2 linked regions of the Arabidopsis thaliana genome follow. The protein of the gene in region 1 interacts with the protein of each later gene in a biochemical or structural test. Each region holds a gene or a part of one and is shown in the gene's direction. Other genes may lie near its edges.

Region 1 (9,397 bases):
TAAATAAGAATCTCACGATTGATCATTCTCTGCAGACATGCTAAACCACTCATTTGAACCAAACTGTTTCCTACATTGGCGTCCTAAAGATCGCATGCTGGAGGTTATGTCAAATGCTGGTCAAGACATTAAGAAAGGCGAAGAGGTAAGAGACTCAAATGTTCCTAAGTGTCAGCCTCACTTCACTGCTTTATCTATCTTCTTATAATGCTTTTCACAGATGACGATTAATTACATGCCAGGCCAGAAAAACAACATGCTTATGGAAAGATACGGCTTCTCAACTCCTGTGGTAATGCTTTTTACGACAATCACATTCATCTTACACAAACTATGTTTCCTTTGCAAGTTTTCTCGTTTATTCAGTTTTTCTGGTCTGCTGCAGAATCCGTGGGATGCTATAAAGTTCTCTGGAGATTCTCGCATCCATTTAAATTCCTTTTTATCGGTCTTCAATATTTATGGTCTTCCTGAAGAATATTACCATGACAGTAAGTTCCTTTTCTTCTGTTTCCTCTCTATTCCTTGACAAAAGATGGAGAAATGAGCACCAATGTTACCTAAATCTGTGGCAGGCGAGTTATCGAGGGGCGATACTTTTGTTGATGGAGCAGTTATCGCTGCAGCAAGAACATTACCTACTTGGTCAGACATAGATCTTCCTCCAATACCGAGTGCGGAAAGAAAAGCAGTTAAAGAATTGCAAGATGAATGTCGAAAGATGCTTGCGGAATATCCCACAACAGCAGAGCAAGACCAGAAGTTGCTAGGTATTACACTAAAGATATATACACCAATGTGTTATTATCTATTATCGCTCATATACTAAAACTTAAGCTTTCCCTCTTGTTGTTGTGACAGATTCAATGTCAGAAGCAAGGACAACATTTGCAACAGCGGTTAAGTATAGAATGCACAGAAAGATGTTCATCGGAAAAATTATCAAGGCACTTGACATCTATCAAGAACGGTTACTCTATTGATTCAAGCAAAAAATAATTATGAGCTGAGTGAGATTCATACTTGGTGCTCACTCCCTTGAGCTACTTAGAAACTGCACCATGTAATTGAAAGGTTCCTGTTTTTTTTTTTGTTTAGTGTAAGGTTATGTATTTGTATGGAACAGTTAGACTAAGTGTGTTAGTTTGTTTTAATCGCAATCACAAACAAATCATAACCTCTTCTTTTCTTGGCTGCTTTAATGAGTTTGATTAGCCAACAAACGCTTTGGAATCATCTGTGTTTTTTTTTTCTCTTTTGATTAATTCATGTTCATGTTTTTAGTCCCTAAGCATGATTAGTGTCTCAAATGTTTTAGGGTAATTGTGTCTCTTACGCCGAACTATAATGTTGATTAGTCTCAATAATTGATTATTACTTATACTATTTATTAACCTTGTGGTTACACTAATCAATCAAATCATATTGCGTTTCTTCTACTCTTTGTCTAACATTACTATTTTCAAAAAAAGTTACGGTCCAAACCAAACAAACCTACTCTGAGTTATACAGAACCATAAGCAATCTATTTCTTACCTTTGGCTACTTATTTGATACTTTACATTGACTAACTTGATTCTTAATAATTATCTTCAATATGTTGAATATTTTATTTTTGAAGTAAGACCACTATGCGTTTCATAATTCTTGCCATGCATAATGAAATTATTCCTTTGAATTTAAGATTAATTAAAGTATAAATCAACCAAACAATAGACAAAAAAAAATAAAAAAAAATAAGCATCTTGATCTTTTTGGTGGATCGAAGATAATTCCTTTGTCTCATTCTTTTGGATTTAGAATCTCGTTCAGTAGAATATTAACATTTTTAATTATAGATTATCAATTATCGAACAAGTTGTTGTACGTAAACTTGATTCGATCTAGCGTTATTACAGTCAACCAAAATTTATATAATAATAACAATTTATGAAAATGACAATATTATTCGATGTATTATTCCTTTTTTCCTATAATTAGATAGGTGTGATTAAATTCAAGCTAGATTCCGAATCGACAACAACATATTATATCTATTATTAACCTCAATTTTTGAAGGCAAAAAACACACGAAATTATTCAAAACTCACGAGTTGATTCTTTACTTCGATGAACATATAAATTGGGAAAGTATCACCGAACTTATTTGGGTAATAAAGAAAAAGATGGATGAAAAAATTATGTTTGCAAATTTTAATAAGAATTATGTTTGACTTGGTAATAAAATATAGGGCATAATCATATGATGCCATGTTAATGTACGATCATACCACAACTGCTCTCCTTGTCGTGAAAAGGTTGAAGTGATGAGAAGCTAACACACTTTGTGACATAACCAAAGCCAAAAATATATACTTCAACCAAGTCATTTTCTCAACCACTCTTTTCTCCTTGTCCAAGGTCAAAGCCATGCATCACCATTTTATTTTCTATTATTCATTATTGTTACTTTTCCTTTATATAACTAATAAAAGGTCTATTACTAATAAACAACTAAACTTTTCTTTTCTTTTTGATAAAATTAAACAACTAAACTTGTCGAAAAGAAATAGGAGAACAAAGAACTCTAACTTCTCACGAAATTGATAAATCAAATGATTGCGTATCACAAAGACACTAAAAAGAAAAATTAAGGAATCGTGTAGAGTTGACACTCTATACATTCAGAGTAGTAATCATGTGTTTGATAGATAATAAATAGATAATGGAAGTATGAAATGAGAAAACTTGTTGGGATCATTTATCATTTGTGGAATCCTCTAAATCTTTTCTAACTTAACTCCAAGTCGTTAGAGTCCAAGAGATATGAATCGATCGGAACTTCAATACAGAATTTAATTAGAATATAGTGGAACAACATCCACGAATCTAAATGTCATAAGTTGTTAATTGATCAAACGAAATAGAATGTACTTATTATAAGCTTATAATTTTACAAGTTTGATGTGAATGTAAAGTGTACTACTCCACTATTTATTTATATATTCTGTGGTTTCTAAAGAAGACCAAATGTTTTTTTTTTTTTCTTTCCTAAGAAGACCAAATGTTATGTCAAAGTTTAGGCACTGTTTTAATTATATAACATGTCTCCACGGACGAATAAATGTACACACGAACATCATAGTACGACCGTTGACCTTTGCCCCTCCATTGATTGATAAAAGGCTAAAAGCCGAAACATTTTCATTCTACGAGCCTTCCCATTCCATTTCCCCACATCTCTCCTCTGACCTCTCTTTGACCCCTCTCTCCTCTCTCTCTAGATCTCTCAATAAAACAGTGAAATAGCAAAAAAGAAACACAAAAAAGAGAGAGAGAAAGAAACTTTGTTCTCTCTGCATTTACTCTTCTCCAACTCAGAGATAGAGTCCCTATGCACCGTTTCTAATGACCAATCATCTTTCTCCCTCTTCATCATTCTCTACAACAAGAATCACACAAATGCCATAAAACCTCCATTCTTCTTCCTCAGTAAACCAAACCATAAGACGACGAAGAAGAAAACATGCAACCACTAGTTCTTCTCCTCCTCTTCATCCTCTGTTTTTCCGGTTTAGGTCAACCGGGTATCATCAACAACGATCTTCAGACTCTTCTCGAGGTGAAGAAATCTTTGGTCACGAATCCACAAGAAGACGATCCTCTCCGACAATGGAACTCTGATAACATCAACTACTGTTCTTGGACCGGAGTCACATGCGACAATACCGGTTTATTTCGTGTAATTGCTCTAAACCTTACCGGTTTAGGATTAACCGGTTCAATTTCACCTTGGTTTGGCCGGTTTGACAACCTAATCCACCTTGATCTATCTTCCAACAATCTAGTTGGTCCCATCCCAACTGCTCTCTCCAACCTTACTTCCTTGGAGTCTCTGTTTCTCTTTTCTAACCAACTCACCGGCGAGATTCCGAGCCAGCTCGGCTCCCTCGTTAATATCCGGTCGCTAAGGATCGGAGACAATGAGCTTGTTGGAGATATCCCGGAGACGTTAGGGAACTTGGTGAATCTCCAGATGCTTGCTCTGGCTTCTTGTAGACTCACCGGTCCTATACCGAGTCAGCTCGGTCGTCTCGTCCGAGTTCAGTCGTTGATATTGCAAGATAACTATCTCGAAGGACCGATTCCGGCTGAGTTAGGAAACTGCTCTGATCTCACTGTGTTCACTGCGGCGGAGAACATGCTCAACGGGACGATACCGGCGGAGCTTGGACGCCTTGAAAACCTCGAAATACTCAACCTGGCGAACAACAGTCTCACCGGAGAGATACCGAGTCAATTAGGTGAAATGAGCCAACTCCAGTATCTTAGCTTGATGGCAAATCAACTTCAAGGTCTTATCCCCAAGAGTTTGGCTGATCTGGGAAATCTTCAAACTCTTGATTTATCGGCGAATAATCTTACCGGAGAGATACCTGAAGAATTCTGGAACATGAGTCAGCTTCTTGATTTGGTTCTAGCAAACAATCATCTCTCTGGTTCATTACCAAAGAGCATTTGTTCTAACAACACAAACTTGGAGCAACTGGTTTTGTCTGGAACTCAGCTTTCTGGTGAAATCCCTGTGGAATTAAGCAAATGTCAATCGCTTAAGCAGCTTGATTTGTCGAACAATTCTCTCGCTGGCTCGATCCCTGAAGCATTGTTTGAGCTAGTCGAACTCACAGATCTTTATCTCCACAATAATACCTTGGAGGGTACGTTATCTCCTTCGATATCAAACCTCACTAATCTACAGTGGCTTGTGTTGTATCACAATAACTTGGAAGGCAAGTTACCGAAGGAGATCAGCGCACTCAGAAAATTAGAGGTTCTGTTTCTGTATGAGAATCGTTTCTCAGGGGAAATCCCACAGGAGATTGGAAACTGCACAAGCTTGAAGATGATTGATATGTTCGGGAATCATTTCGAAGGAGAGATACCTCCTTCAATAGGAAGATTAAAAGAGCTTAACTTGCTTCACTTGAGACAGAACGAGCTTGTGGGTGGACTTCCCGCCAGTTTAGGTAACTGTCATCAACTGAACATCTTGGATTTGGCGGATAATCAGCTCTCGGGATCAATTCCTTCATCCTTCGGGTTCTTAAAGGGCTTGGAACAGTTGATGCTTTACAACAATTCTCTTCAAGGAAATCTTCCTGATTCACTTATCAGTCTGAGGAACCTCACCAGAATCAATCTCTCTCACAACAGGCTCAATGGTACGATTCATCCATTATGTGGTTCGAGCTCATATCTCTCATTCGATGTCACCAACAACGGGTTTGAAGATGAAATCCCCCTGGAGCTAGGAAACTCTCAAAATCTTGATCGTCTCAGGTTAGGCAAGAATCAATTGACAGGAAAAATCCCTTGGACGTTGGGGAAAATCCGCGAGCTGTCCTTGTTAGATATGTCAAGCAACGCTCTCACAGGAACCATTCCGCTACAGCTCGTCTTGTGCAAGAAACTGACACACATCGATCTCAATAACAATTTTCTATCAGGTCCTATACCTCCATGGCTTGGAAAACTTTCACAGTTAGGAGAGCTCAAGCTTTCTTCGAATCAGTTTGTTGAGTCTTTACCTACTGAACTGTTCAACTGTACAAAGCTGCTTGTGTTGTCTCTTGATGGAAATTCGCTTAATGGGTCGATTCCACAAGAGATTGGTAACTTGGGAGCTCTCAATGTCCTTAACCTTGATAAGAACCAGTTTTCAGGTTCACTTCCTCAAGCTATGGGAAAGCTCAGCAAGCTGTATGAGCTTCGGTTATCAAGAAACAGCTTAACAGGAGAAATCCCAGTTGAGATTGGACAGCTTCAGGATCTTCAAAGTGCTTTAGACCTCAGCTACAATAACTTCACTGGAGATATACCTTCGACAATTGGGACATTATCAAAGCTGGAAACACTTGATCTTTCTCACAATCAGCTTACAGGGGAAGTTCCTGGCTCGGTTGGGGATATGAAGAGTTTGGGATATCTCAATGTTTCTTTCAATAACCTCGGAGGGAAGCTCAAGAAACAGTTCTCAAGATGGCCAGCTGATTCCTTTTTAGGCAACACAGGTCTTTGTGGAAGCCCACTAAGTCGCTGCAACAGAGTTAGAAGTAATAACAAGCAACAAGGTCTTAGTGCCAGATCAGTTGTGATAATATCAGCAATCTCAGCATTGACGGCGATTGGCTTGATGATACTTGTAATCGCTCTCTTCTTCAAACAAAGGCATGATTTCTTCAAGAAAGTGGGTCATGGAAGCACTGCGTACACATCGTCAAGCTCTTCTTCACAAGCTACACACAAGCCTCTCTTTCGAAACGGAGCTTCAAAGTCCGATATCAGGTGGGAGGACATCATGGAAGCTACACATAATCTAAGCGAGGAGTTCATGATTGGATCAGGAGGCTCTGGGAAGGTTTACAAGGCGGAGCTTGAAAATGGTGAGACTGTTGCAGTGAAAAAGATTCTCTGGAAGGATGATCTCATGTCAAACAAGAGCTTCAGCAGAGAAGTTAAGACGCTTGGAAGAATCAGGCATAGGCATCTGGTTAAGCTAATGGGTTACTGCAGCAGCAAGTCAGAAGGATTGAATCTGTTGATATATGAGTACATGAAGAACGGAAGCATCTGGGATTGGCTTCATGAGGACAAACCCGTGCTCGAAAAAAAGAAGAAGCTTTTAGACTGGGAAGCAAGATTGAGAATAGCAGTAGGATTGGCTCAAGGAGTAGAGTACCTTCATCATGACTGTGTTCCTCCTATCGTTCACCGTGATATCAAATCCAGTAATGTGCTCCTCGATTCAAACATGGAAGCGCATTTAGGAGATTTCGGTCTTGCCAAGGTCTTAACTGAGAACTGTGATACCAACACAGATTCAAATACCTGGTTTGCATGCTCTTATGGCTACATTGCTCCAGGTACTCATCTTCTCTTTCTTAGCTTTCTTGCATATTCACTGTTTTAATATCTAAAGATTTGAAATTGTGTGTCTAGAGTATGCTTACTCGTTGAAGGCGACTGAGAAGAGCGACGTTTACAGTATGGGGATCGTGTTGATGGAGATTGTGACTGGGAAAATGCCAACCGACTCAGTGTTTGGTGCAGAGATGGACATGGTGAGATGGGTTGAAACACATCTTGAAGTAGCGGGTTCTGCGAGAGATAAACTCATAGATCCAAAGCTTAAGCCACTTCTGCCATTTGAGGAAGACGCAGCTTGTCAGGTGCTTGAGATTGCACTTCAGTGCACAAAAACTTCTCCCCAAGAGAGACCATCTTCTAGGCAAGCTTGTGATAGTCTTCTCCATGTCTACAACAACAGAACGGCCGGTTATAAGAAGCTGTAAAAAAACTGACACCTGCAAATGTCTTTGGAGACATGAAAACTGCCAACTTTAAATTTTTTCTTCTGAAATTCTGTTTCTGCTTTGTATAGATGACATGGTTTCTTTCAGTACAAAGATTGTTTCGAACTTGATCCATCTGCTACAAAAACACTTATTGTCTTTTGCATGTACTTGTAATACAACTTAAACCAAATTTTAAACAGAATGATTCTGATTCTGATTCTGAAACTCTATTCTCATAACAGAAGGTAGATTGCAAGGTTTATCATTTCGCCATTATTAACCAGATACAAACAGATTCAGATTGTGAAAACACAAATCTTTAGGTTCATATTCGAAAACAGTGAATGAAAAGAACTCCAGAGCTGAAGTCAAAGAGAAGGAGAAGAAACGCTTATACAGGAAAGATCAGACAAAACAAGCACTTGAGATGAGTTCAGGGGAAGATATTTCTTTTCTGAAGACTTCAAAGATCACGCAAAATTAATCCCGATCTTCATCTGCATTACAAAAACAGAAGGAAAAGTTTGAATATTCCAAGTTATTCAATCCAACAAAACAAGAAATGTAATACACCAAATTCTGCCAGTCCCTCGCAAATATGCAATAGCCAATGGTGATAAACAAACAGAGATTCTTGAACTTATCATAAGTCACAAGATTTATCAAAGAAGAGTTTGCGAAAGCTTAGCAACTTACTACCTAAAACGAGACACGTTTACATATGTGGTTCCCTTCAAATTCGCATCTAGTTTATATGTACTGGCACCTTGCAACCTATCTAACTCTAGAACCAAAGAACTAGTCGAAAGTATCTATCTTTCCAGACTCATTGAGATCATGTTCAAAGGAATAATTGTATTGCTCAAACTGTCTTAACTTTTATAAGAGTGCCTGACTAAACAGATTTGCAACAAGCTAAGCCTGCATAGAGATTCGCTCAATTGAAAAACTTCCAAATGATTAAACCTTGAGCGAAGTTTCATTGCGGAGAATTCAATTACCATTGCAACCATTTCATACACCAAAAACGTCACCAATTTTTCTAAAAAAAAGCAAAATTTGAGAAGCTGATAAACCAAAAACAAGAAGAGGATAATATATACCAAAGTAACGGCGCTCATTAGCAGCTCTAGCCTTAGCGAGCATCACATCAAGATCTTCCTTAAGCTTCACATCCCATTTCACGAGCTGGTTCGCAAACACAGCACCAAGTCCCATACCCACCACATGCTCCCACGGATCTAACATATATTAATATCCAATCAGAACACAATGAATCGGAATCGCATTTTCTCAACAATCGAAATCAGAAAACAAAAATTAGGGTTGTTGTAGCATTTTTCGATTGGTGGACGACTTACGACGCATATAAGGGAGCTTGCGGAGGGCGTTGGAGTACATCTGGGTACCGAGACCCAGCAAAGCTCCGACCATTGTCGCACTTATAGGCATCGTTTCGTCTTCGGATCTTCTGAAATTTGTTGTTGTTGCAACGATGAGTCTCCGATCTCCGGTTAAGTGACTACTCGGACTTAGCTTCACAATGTTTTCCCCACATACATTGCCATTTCAGTGTATCGCCCTCATATGGGCTTGGGCTTGGGCCTAGACCTTGGGTTACATAAATGATATGGAACGCTATCTGCTATGTTTAGTTGTTTTGGAAAATGTTAGTAAGTTTAGACAGTAAAAAAAGAAGCACTACTTTTTTTTTTTTTTTTTTAACATTAACAGAAAGTTAAAAACTACCAAATGCTAAAATTTAGGTGAATTATCTTCTATACTTAAGCAAGATACACATATCTTTTGGATAGAATTAAATTAGTTAAGTTCGTTTTAAATTGGAACAAAGTTTGACTCCGGTGTAATTTACGCCAAAACTCTCTATCTGTTTTTTTTTAACCTTTCCCGTCAGATTAGTCAAAGAATCTAAATTTATTTTGATTCTGATAGGCTATAAAAATAGCTACCATATTATATTTTAACTAATTACATGAGTCAAAGACTGTAAATTTATTACTTTAAGTTACCATATATAGTACAATGAATCAATGGAACTTCAT
Region 2 (8,023 bases), 1.1 Mb from region 1:
GAACAGGTAGATTTCATTTGAAAGTAAAGTAAATTTGAATTCTTGAAAGATTCAAGAACAATGTTAACACGGTTTTTGGTGTTGTTACTAGCTTGCTAAGAAAGGAGAAAACTTTATTGATCTTCCGTATGCTGTTAAAGGTATGGATGTATCGTTCAGCGGAATCTTGAGTTATATCGAAACTACTGCAGAGGAGAAGCTCAAGAATAACGAGTGTACACCAGCAGACTTGTGTTATTCCCTTCAAGTAAGGCTATCACTTGGTTCTTAACTGATGAATTTTGTCACATGAATGCAAATTTTGGACTGTTTAAGAGTAATATCATGAATTCATGTTTGTTGATCTTGCAGGAGACGGTGTTTGCGATGTTGGTTGAGATCACAGAAAGAGCGATGGCGCATTGTGACAAGAAAGACGTTTTGATAGTTGGCGGTGTTGGGTGTAACGAGCGTTTGCAGGAAATGATGAGGACTATGTGCTCAGAACGTGATGGTAAGCTGTTTGCAACAGATGACCGTTACTGCATCGATAATGGAGCTATGATCGCTTACACAGGTCTACTCGCGTTTGTTAATGGTATTGAAACACCGATCGAAGACTCTACCTTTACACAACGATTTCGCACAGACGAGGTTCATGCGGTGTGGCGAGAGAAAGAAGCTGTACTACTTGGGGATAAGAAAGTTGCAGCGAATTGAGTCTGTCCCCATTTTTGTTCATTTTTCATCAAATTTGAGATTGAATCTCTCTCTACTCGATAAATTGGTTTTTGCTAAGTAGTTAAGACTTTTAAATGTGTTTTATTAGCCAAATTATATGATTGATATCTTTTGGTTTGAATGTAATAACACTTTCAAATTTCAAAGTGAGCTTTGTAAAAAGTTCAAATGTTTCTTGTGTTGCATTTCGCTATTTGTTTTATTGCTTTAATAAAAATATGATATCTCAAAGTCGACATTTCTACCGAGAATGGTGGAGAGATTAGTGCATTAGTCTTCCTTAATCATACAAAAACAACTGTGAAAATACAGCACTACTAAAAAGTAAAAAGTAAGAACTTTTTAATGTAGAACGTATGAGATGGTTCAATTAATCACAAGACACTTCTATGGCATTGCGTATTAAACGAAAAGTGAGTAAATAGAATTTATACATAATGATCTAATCTTGATCTTGCTAATAAAAATTGTAAAGGCAACAACAAGTTGTCAAAAATTTCAATTTGACGTAGAGATAAATTCTATCTAATAATTTTGTAAAAACATTCGAGATATAGTGTATCATTTTTCCATCATCTAGAACTCATTTGCGTATTTTCAAGTGTAAATCAGAACCTTGACACATAGGCTACACAAATTTTGGTCGATATTTATATTACTTTTGTAGCATAATGTGGATATCCTTCTAGAGACTAGAGTTCTAGATAAAACATTCATACATGTAACTATGTAAGTAAGCATGCATACTAAATATAAAATTTTCAAAAGTTTTAAAAGACATCATATAGATTCAAAAAGACGTGGGAAAAAGGAGAAAATGACAAAAGTTATTAGTAAAACAATCAAGTAAAAGGTCAAAGTAGTTAACGAAAAGATAAAAGTATTTCAAAAGTCTTCCTTCCATCTTGAAATGCCAAAAAATAAAAGACGAATGATTGAAGATAAATCAAAGTTGTCTGATTGCTATTGTATACATCTTTTTTTTTGTTAAAACTATTGTATACATCTAAAAAACCTTGAAGTAATCAAGATCTGAATTATAGCCGTTGATAAGGTTTTATGCTTTCACATTGAACTCGATCGTCGTCGTCAAATCTACTAGTCTCGTTTTTTAGTTTTAACGTGCTTAATTACTTCACTAATTTGTTTTTTGTTATCATTTTCACCAATTTTATTCATTGTGTGAATTAAGTTTTGTCCACATAGTAAGATTCATCAGTATAATAGGACATATGATAAAAGTTTGTATATAATCAAAGAGTATATCTAAGAATATCTAATTAAGATGAATGTTTCAGTCCACATTGGATTCTGCTTATAGTCAAACTGTCTTGTTCTTAAACCCAATTAGGTTAGAATACATGTACCAACAAATAGCATTTCTATAACTAATCTTTTATCAATTTACTTTATAGCCTACAAATAATTAGAGGAAAAGAAAAGAGAGTTAGTGGAATAATTGTCCTCTAAATCTCGATATCATCATTAACTAAATACTATATTTAGACCATATATACTATATTTTATAGTATACTATATTTTATAGTATATATAATCAACTAATCATATTAGACCACTATTAGAAATATGGATCTAAAAAAAACATTCTTTAATCAGTACTATTCTCATCCAAAGACTTGTTTTAAGAGACTAAATATGAATATGTGTATGTGTATGTGTATGCAGGAGTAGACACGTGCACGTGGCACATGCAGGGAATGGGAAGGTGGAGTGTTGACAAAGAAGAAGAGGATGATCCAAGTTTCGAAATGATTCCAAAAGTTATGAACTATAAGCCAAAGTGCTCAATCGCCAAACATGAACTTAAATAAACTTCACTCGTTAGATCGTTTTCTCACATTAAAGCCGCTCTACACTTTTACCCATTTTACCATTTATAATAACCACCACACATAGATATTAAGTTCTATGGATTTTATTCGTAAACTTAAGTTATGATCAAATAGCTAAATGATTTTGCGATTTGCCCGAGTTCTGTTTGTTTCTAAAATGGTTATCCAAAAAGCATATTTTTGTTTTATATAGAATTTGTGATATAGAAGAAATATACTAAAAATGTTTTAAAGTCTGTCTAAATCATAAACCAATGCAAAGAAAGTGAAATAAACCAAGATCTCGAGCAATAGACATAATAAATAAACAAACACCTAATAACATCACATCCCCACTAACAAATGTGAACATTAACTGTTAAAAATCACCAAAAAAGTCATCAAGATTTGGCTTTCCTTTTCAAAAGCAGTATACGTCTCTGTCTCACACAGACAGTGTATTCAATGCGTTGTGTTGTCTTCCCACTTTTCACCAGCTGAGGTTCTGCTTCTTTCTCTTCTTCTCTCCAAAACAAGAAAATTCTGCAGAATAACTTTTCATTCACGAGAGTGGAAGGTTACAGTTTTCCAAATCCGAGAAACAGACACAAAATTGGTCCCTCTCTAAAAGTTACTATCTTCGTTTAACAAAGAGATAGCTCCCAATCCAGTACAAAACAGAGTACTCTGCTCTATAAATTTCGTTCCTTTATTACTCTGCTCTATAAAACAGATTATTCTGCTCTATAAGAGAGATAGATAAATGAGCTAAAGCTCAGTAATTTCTAAACAGAGAGACAAGAAAATTCAAGAATGGTTACCTTATGTGCCACGTTACTGATCCTTCTCTCAATCTTTCTTGCAACTCCGTCGAATGTTCGAGGAAATGCAGAGCTGAAGGCTTTAATGGAGCTGAAATCGTCGCTTGACCCTGAAAACAAGCTTCTCCGTTCATGGACGTTTAACGGCGATCCATGCGACGGATCTTTCGAAGGAATTGCATGTAACCAGCATCTAAAAGTCGCAAACATATCATTACAAGGGAAACGTTTGGTCGGAAAATTGTCTCCGGCGGTTGCAGAGCTCAAATGTTTGTCAGGTCTTTACTTACATTACAATAGTCTCTCTGGAGAGATACCTCAAGAGATCACAAATCTTACTGAATTATCAGATCTTTATCTCAATGTTAATAACTTCTCTGGTGAGATTCCGGCAGATATCGGCTCCATGGCTGGCTTGCAAGGTTAGCATCTTATAATGTTTCACAGATCTTTCACTTGAATGTTTACTCGATCTTCCATTTGAATGTTTTGTGGTGTCTTTTGTTGCAGTTATGGATCTTTGTTGCAACAGTTTAACAGGGAAGATACCAAAGAACATTGGATCCTTGAAGAAACTTAATGTGTTGTCTCTGCAACACAACAAACTAACCGGAGAGGTTCCTTGGACTTTAGGAAACTTGAGTATGTTAAGCAGGCTTGATTTAAGCTTCAACAATCTGTTAGGTTTAATCCCAAAAACCCTAGCCAACATTCCTCAGTTGGACACTCTTGACTTGCGCAACAATACTCTCTCTGGCTTTGTTCCTCCTGGTGAGTTAATGATTCTTGAAACGTCTTTGTAAGAGCTTATCTCTCTGTTTCTTGACTCGGTTTTTTCTTCGTTATGTTTCTTCAAAGGTCTTAAGAAGTTGAATGGGAGCTTCCAGTTTGAGAACAACACCGGGTTATGTGGTATCGATTTTCCTTCTTTGAGAGCTTGTTCTGCTTTCGATAATGCGAATAATATCGAACAATTTAAGCAGCCTCCTGGTGAAATAGACACTGATAAATCAGCTCTTCACAACATTCCCGAGTCTGTATATCTCCAAAAGCATTGCAACCAAACACATTGCAAGAAATCCTCATCGAAACTCCCACAAGTTGCTTTGATTTCAAGCGTGATTACCGTCACTATAACATTGATTGGTGCTGGTATATTGACCTTCTTTCGCTACAGAAGAAGGAAGCAAAAGATCAGTAACACACCTGAGTTTTCCGAGGGAAGACTAAGCACAGATCAACAAAAAGAGTTCCGTGCATCGCCTTTAGTGAGTCTTGCCTACACTAAAGAATGGGATCCGCTAGGTGATAGCAGAAACGGAGCTGAGTTTTCACAAGAGCCTCATCTCTTTGTTGTAAATAGTAGCTTCAGGTTTAACTTAGAAGACATTGAATCAGCAACCCAATGCTTCTCAGAAGCTAATCTATTGAGCAGAAACAGCTTCACCTCAGTGTTCAAAGGAGTCCTCAGAGATGGTTCTCCGGTAGCTATCAGAAGCATCAACATAAGCAGTTGCAAGAACGAAGAAGTCGAATTCATGAACGGTTTAAAGCTTTTATCTTCGTTGTCACACGAAAACTTAGTGAAGCTACGTGGATTCTGCTGTTCTAGAGGCAGAGGAGAGTGTTTCCTCATCTATGATTTTGCTTCAAAAGGAAAGCTTTCAAATTTTCTTGACTTACAAGAACGCGAAACTAATCTGGTCCTTGCTTGGTCTGCAAGAATCTCCATCATCAAAGGGATTGCAAAAGGTTAAGTATTTGAAATATCACTTCTTTGAGTTCAAGGAACAAAATGTATTTAATACACAAATTTCTTGCAGGTATTGCTTACTTACATGGAAGTGATCAACAGAAGAAGCCTACAATAGTTCATCGAAACATCTCTGTCGAAAAAATCCTACTTGATGAACAATTTAACCCGTTAATCGCTGATTCGGGTCTTCACAACCTTCTAGCAGACGATATGGTCTTCTCAGCACTCAAAACAAGTGCAGCAATGGGATATTTAGCTCCGGAATACGTCACAACCGGAAAATTCACCGAGAAAACCGATATTTTCGCCTTTGGAGTCATCATTCTCCAGATACTCTCTGGTAAGCTCATGCTTACAAGTTCACTGAGAAATGCAGCTGAAAATGGAGAACATAACGGGTTCATCGATGAAGATCTTCGTGAAGAGTTTGATAAACCAGAGGCGACTGCAATGGCGAGGATTGGGATAAGCTGTACACAGGAGATACCAAACAATAGGCCTAATATAGAGACATTGCTTGAGAATATAAACTGTATGAAGAGTGAATGACTCTGCTTTTTAATTAGTATCTTTGTGCAAGTATGATTCTCCGGTTAGCTGTGTCCCACCAATTGGTTTTGTTTGTTTTAGTTCTCTCCAGTAAGAACCGGGTCCGGTTTATATTTTATTTAGATTTGTAGCTGAGAATTGAAGCTTTAATCAGTTAGCTATATGATTATAAGCAACGAAGAACTGATTAATGTAACAAAAGATACATATATAATAATCATCAAGGAGCAGTGTTTAAAACCCTCAAATCATGTCATCATACAGTTACAGTAATGATGATGCAACCTAAGTAAAGTAATTAGTCTTTGGTTACATTCACTAAAGATTTTCGAAACCATACATATAGGCGGAGATTAGTTTGTACCATGTCCTCTTACATTCATTGCAGCTTTCGGTCTTCGGGATGATTCTGCTCGTGCATGAGAAGGACTTGGATCAGTCGAGGGAAGTAACATTGGTTGCTCTCTGTTCACAAGACCACCTGCAAGAACATCAAAGAGATGATTTATCTTTGTTCACAAAGAAACGTACAACACGAAAACTTGACCGTGTAATAGGACTGCTTACTTCCAAATGAACCAGAGCGACTGGGTAACTGCATTTGCCTTCTAGCATTTCCACTCCAAGACTGTTCAAAACCAGCCAATTCATCTGCAGAATTTTGCAATTGAAAGCAAACGGTATATAAGGATATTTCATCCACAATAGAACATTTATGAAGCTTAACGAGAATTGTATTAGTTACCTTCATTCAAATTGTGCAAGGTCTGAGTTGTATCAACACGGCCATCTGAGTTAAGTTTACGCGCAACTGTGTGGCCCTGCAAGCATAAGAACATAACTTATAACTGATCCAACAACAAAAGATACAGATTTTATTATCCTCAAGGTATGTATATATGTACCTTGTTATGAAGGCCTCTTGAAATCATATGCGCTGCTTCCCGCGTTGCAGTGTTGGCTTCTCTGCTTTCTTCAAGAGTTAACTGTTTCACAGTAAGACCGGTTTTAGTAAAAAGTATCAGCTAACATTCTTACTTTCACACACACGCAATTACATTACTAATGTAACTCACCCCATCACTTCCTGTCCTTCTGGTCTTTGAGGAAGTATAGTAGTTGCCGTTCTGACCACCGTATGTAACAGTCGAGCTCTGAAAACTATAACTACCGGTTTGAGGTTGCCACTGTCCATTGTTCACCATAGCATTCACATTCATGTTCTGCATTTGTGGGTTCCTTCTCTCTGCATTCACATTCATGTTCTGCATTTCTCGGTTCCTTCTCTCTGCATTTACATTCATGCTTTGCATTTGCCGGTTTCTTCTCTCTGCAGCGAACATAAAACACAATCAGTTCCATAGAAAAGAACGATTTCATTCCACTTTAAAACCAAGGTAGAAATAGAAAAAAGGTATCACCTCGCACTCTAGCATCTTCAGTTTCAGCCTCACTGCTTGACCTGCCATGTTTCCCTAGACTTCCTTTCTTCTCTTTATCACCTTCTCCTTCTTTCTCATCATCTGAATCAATCTCTTCAATAACCGGTCCGCGTGATCTACTCGGTCCTGGAGGCTGATTATTCTCAATAAAACCCTGTGGCAGACGATGCATTTCTGCAAAAGGATTCATGCTGGGACCAAAGAAGTTGGATTGAAACATGCCACCACCAAAAGGCTGAGTGAAGAAAGGGTCGTCAAATGGATCTCTTCCTCCGAAAAAATTAGACATGAGACTCGGAGGACCATTAGGGCCACCAAATCCACCAAAGGAACCTCTTCCAAAACCACCAAAAGAGCCACCTCCAAAACCACCAAAAGGACCCCCAAAACCACCACCAAAAGGATCTCTACCACCACCTCCTTGCATCTTCCCTGATAAAAACTAAAGTATACAAAAACAAAAACAGAATTCATAAAACGCTATCATCAAACACAAATCTGAAATTTGCAATTCAACACAATCTCTAGCAAGATAACAATTCTCTAACTGCAAAGCAATTTCAACAGTAAATCAGGAAGATTACATGAATCGATCACAATCAAGTCACAAACAACTCAGGAACGTAAATATCATGAAGAAAAAACCAGAGACCTGAAGCGAACTAGACCTAACGAAGAACCCGAAATTGAAATTCAATCAGAAATCAAAATCAAACATTAAAATTCACCGTAATCGAATTTGAAGTTCATACCTCGAACAACGATTCGGACTCCCAACAATCTGAGAGATATTTGTTGGAATTGAGAAATTTTCTCTTAAGCCATTTTATGCAGCAAGAGAATTTAAGAATCTTCTCGAACTGTGTTTCTACAGGAGTCGCAGTTTGATTGGCTGATGGGTTA

The links.
Region 2: the proteins of GSO1 (region 1) and AT4G22730 form a complex in vitro, tested with the Arabidopsis thaliana proteins (one large-scale study listed by BioGRID).

What each region holds. Positions count from the first base shown.
Region 1 is NC_003075.7:10,880,715-10,890,111, forward strand, and holds GSO1 (Leucine-rich repeat transmembrane protein kinase), read left to right. Parts: upstream 1-3,206; 5' UTR 3,207-3,505; coding exon 3,506-6,902; intron 6,903-6,978; coding exon 6,979-7,331; 3' UTR 7,332-7,556; downstream 7,557-9,397. Other genes in the region: PTAC14 (plastid transcriptionally active 14), read left to right, coding at 36-145, 221-292, 386-491, 576-770, 862-983; AT4G20150 (excitatory amino acid transporter), read right to left, coding at 7,815-7,831, 8,438-8,575, 8,696-8,786. UniProt on the Arabidopsis thaliana protein: Together with GSO2, receptor-like serine/threonine-kinase required during the development of the epidermal surface in embryos and cotyledons. In coordination with GSO2, regulates root growth through control of cell division and cell fate specification.
Region 2 is NC_003075.7:11,938,019-11,946,041, forward strand, and holds AT4G22730 (Leucine-rich repeat protein kinase family protein), read left to right. Parts: upstream 1-2,982; 5' UTR 2,983-3,365; coding exon 3,366-3,795; intron 3,796-3,883; coding exon 3,884-4,144; exon of another isoform or gene 4,145-4,231; coding exon 4,232-5,125; coding exon of another isoform or gene 5,126-5,130; intron 5,131-5,196; coding exon 5,197-5,678; 3' UTR 5,679-5,867; downstream 5,868-8,023. Other genes in the region: AT4G22720 (Actin-like ATPase superfamily protein), read left to right, coding at 1-6, 92-247, 352-699; AT4G22740 (glycine-rich protein), read right to left, coding at 6,032-6,159, 6,246-6,329, 6,424-6,499, 6,584-6,664, 6,755-7,008, 7,100-7,547.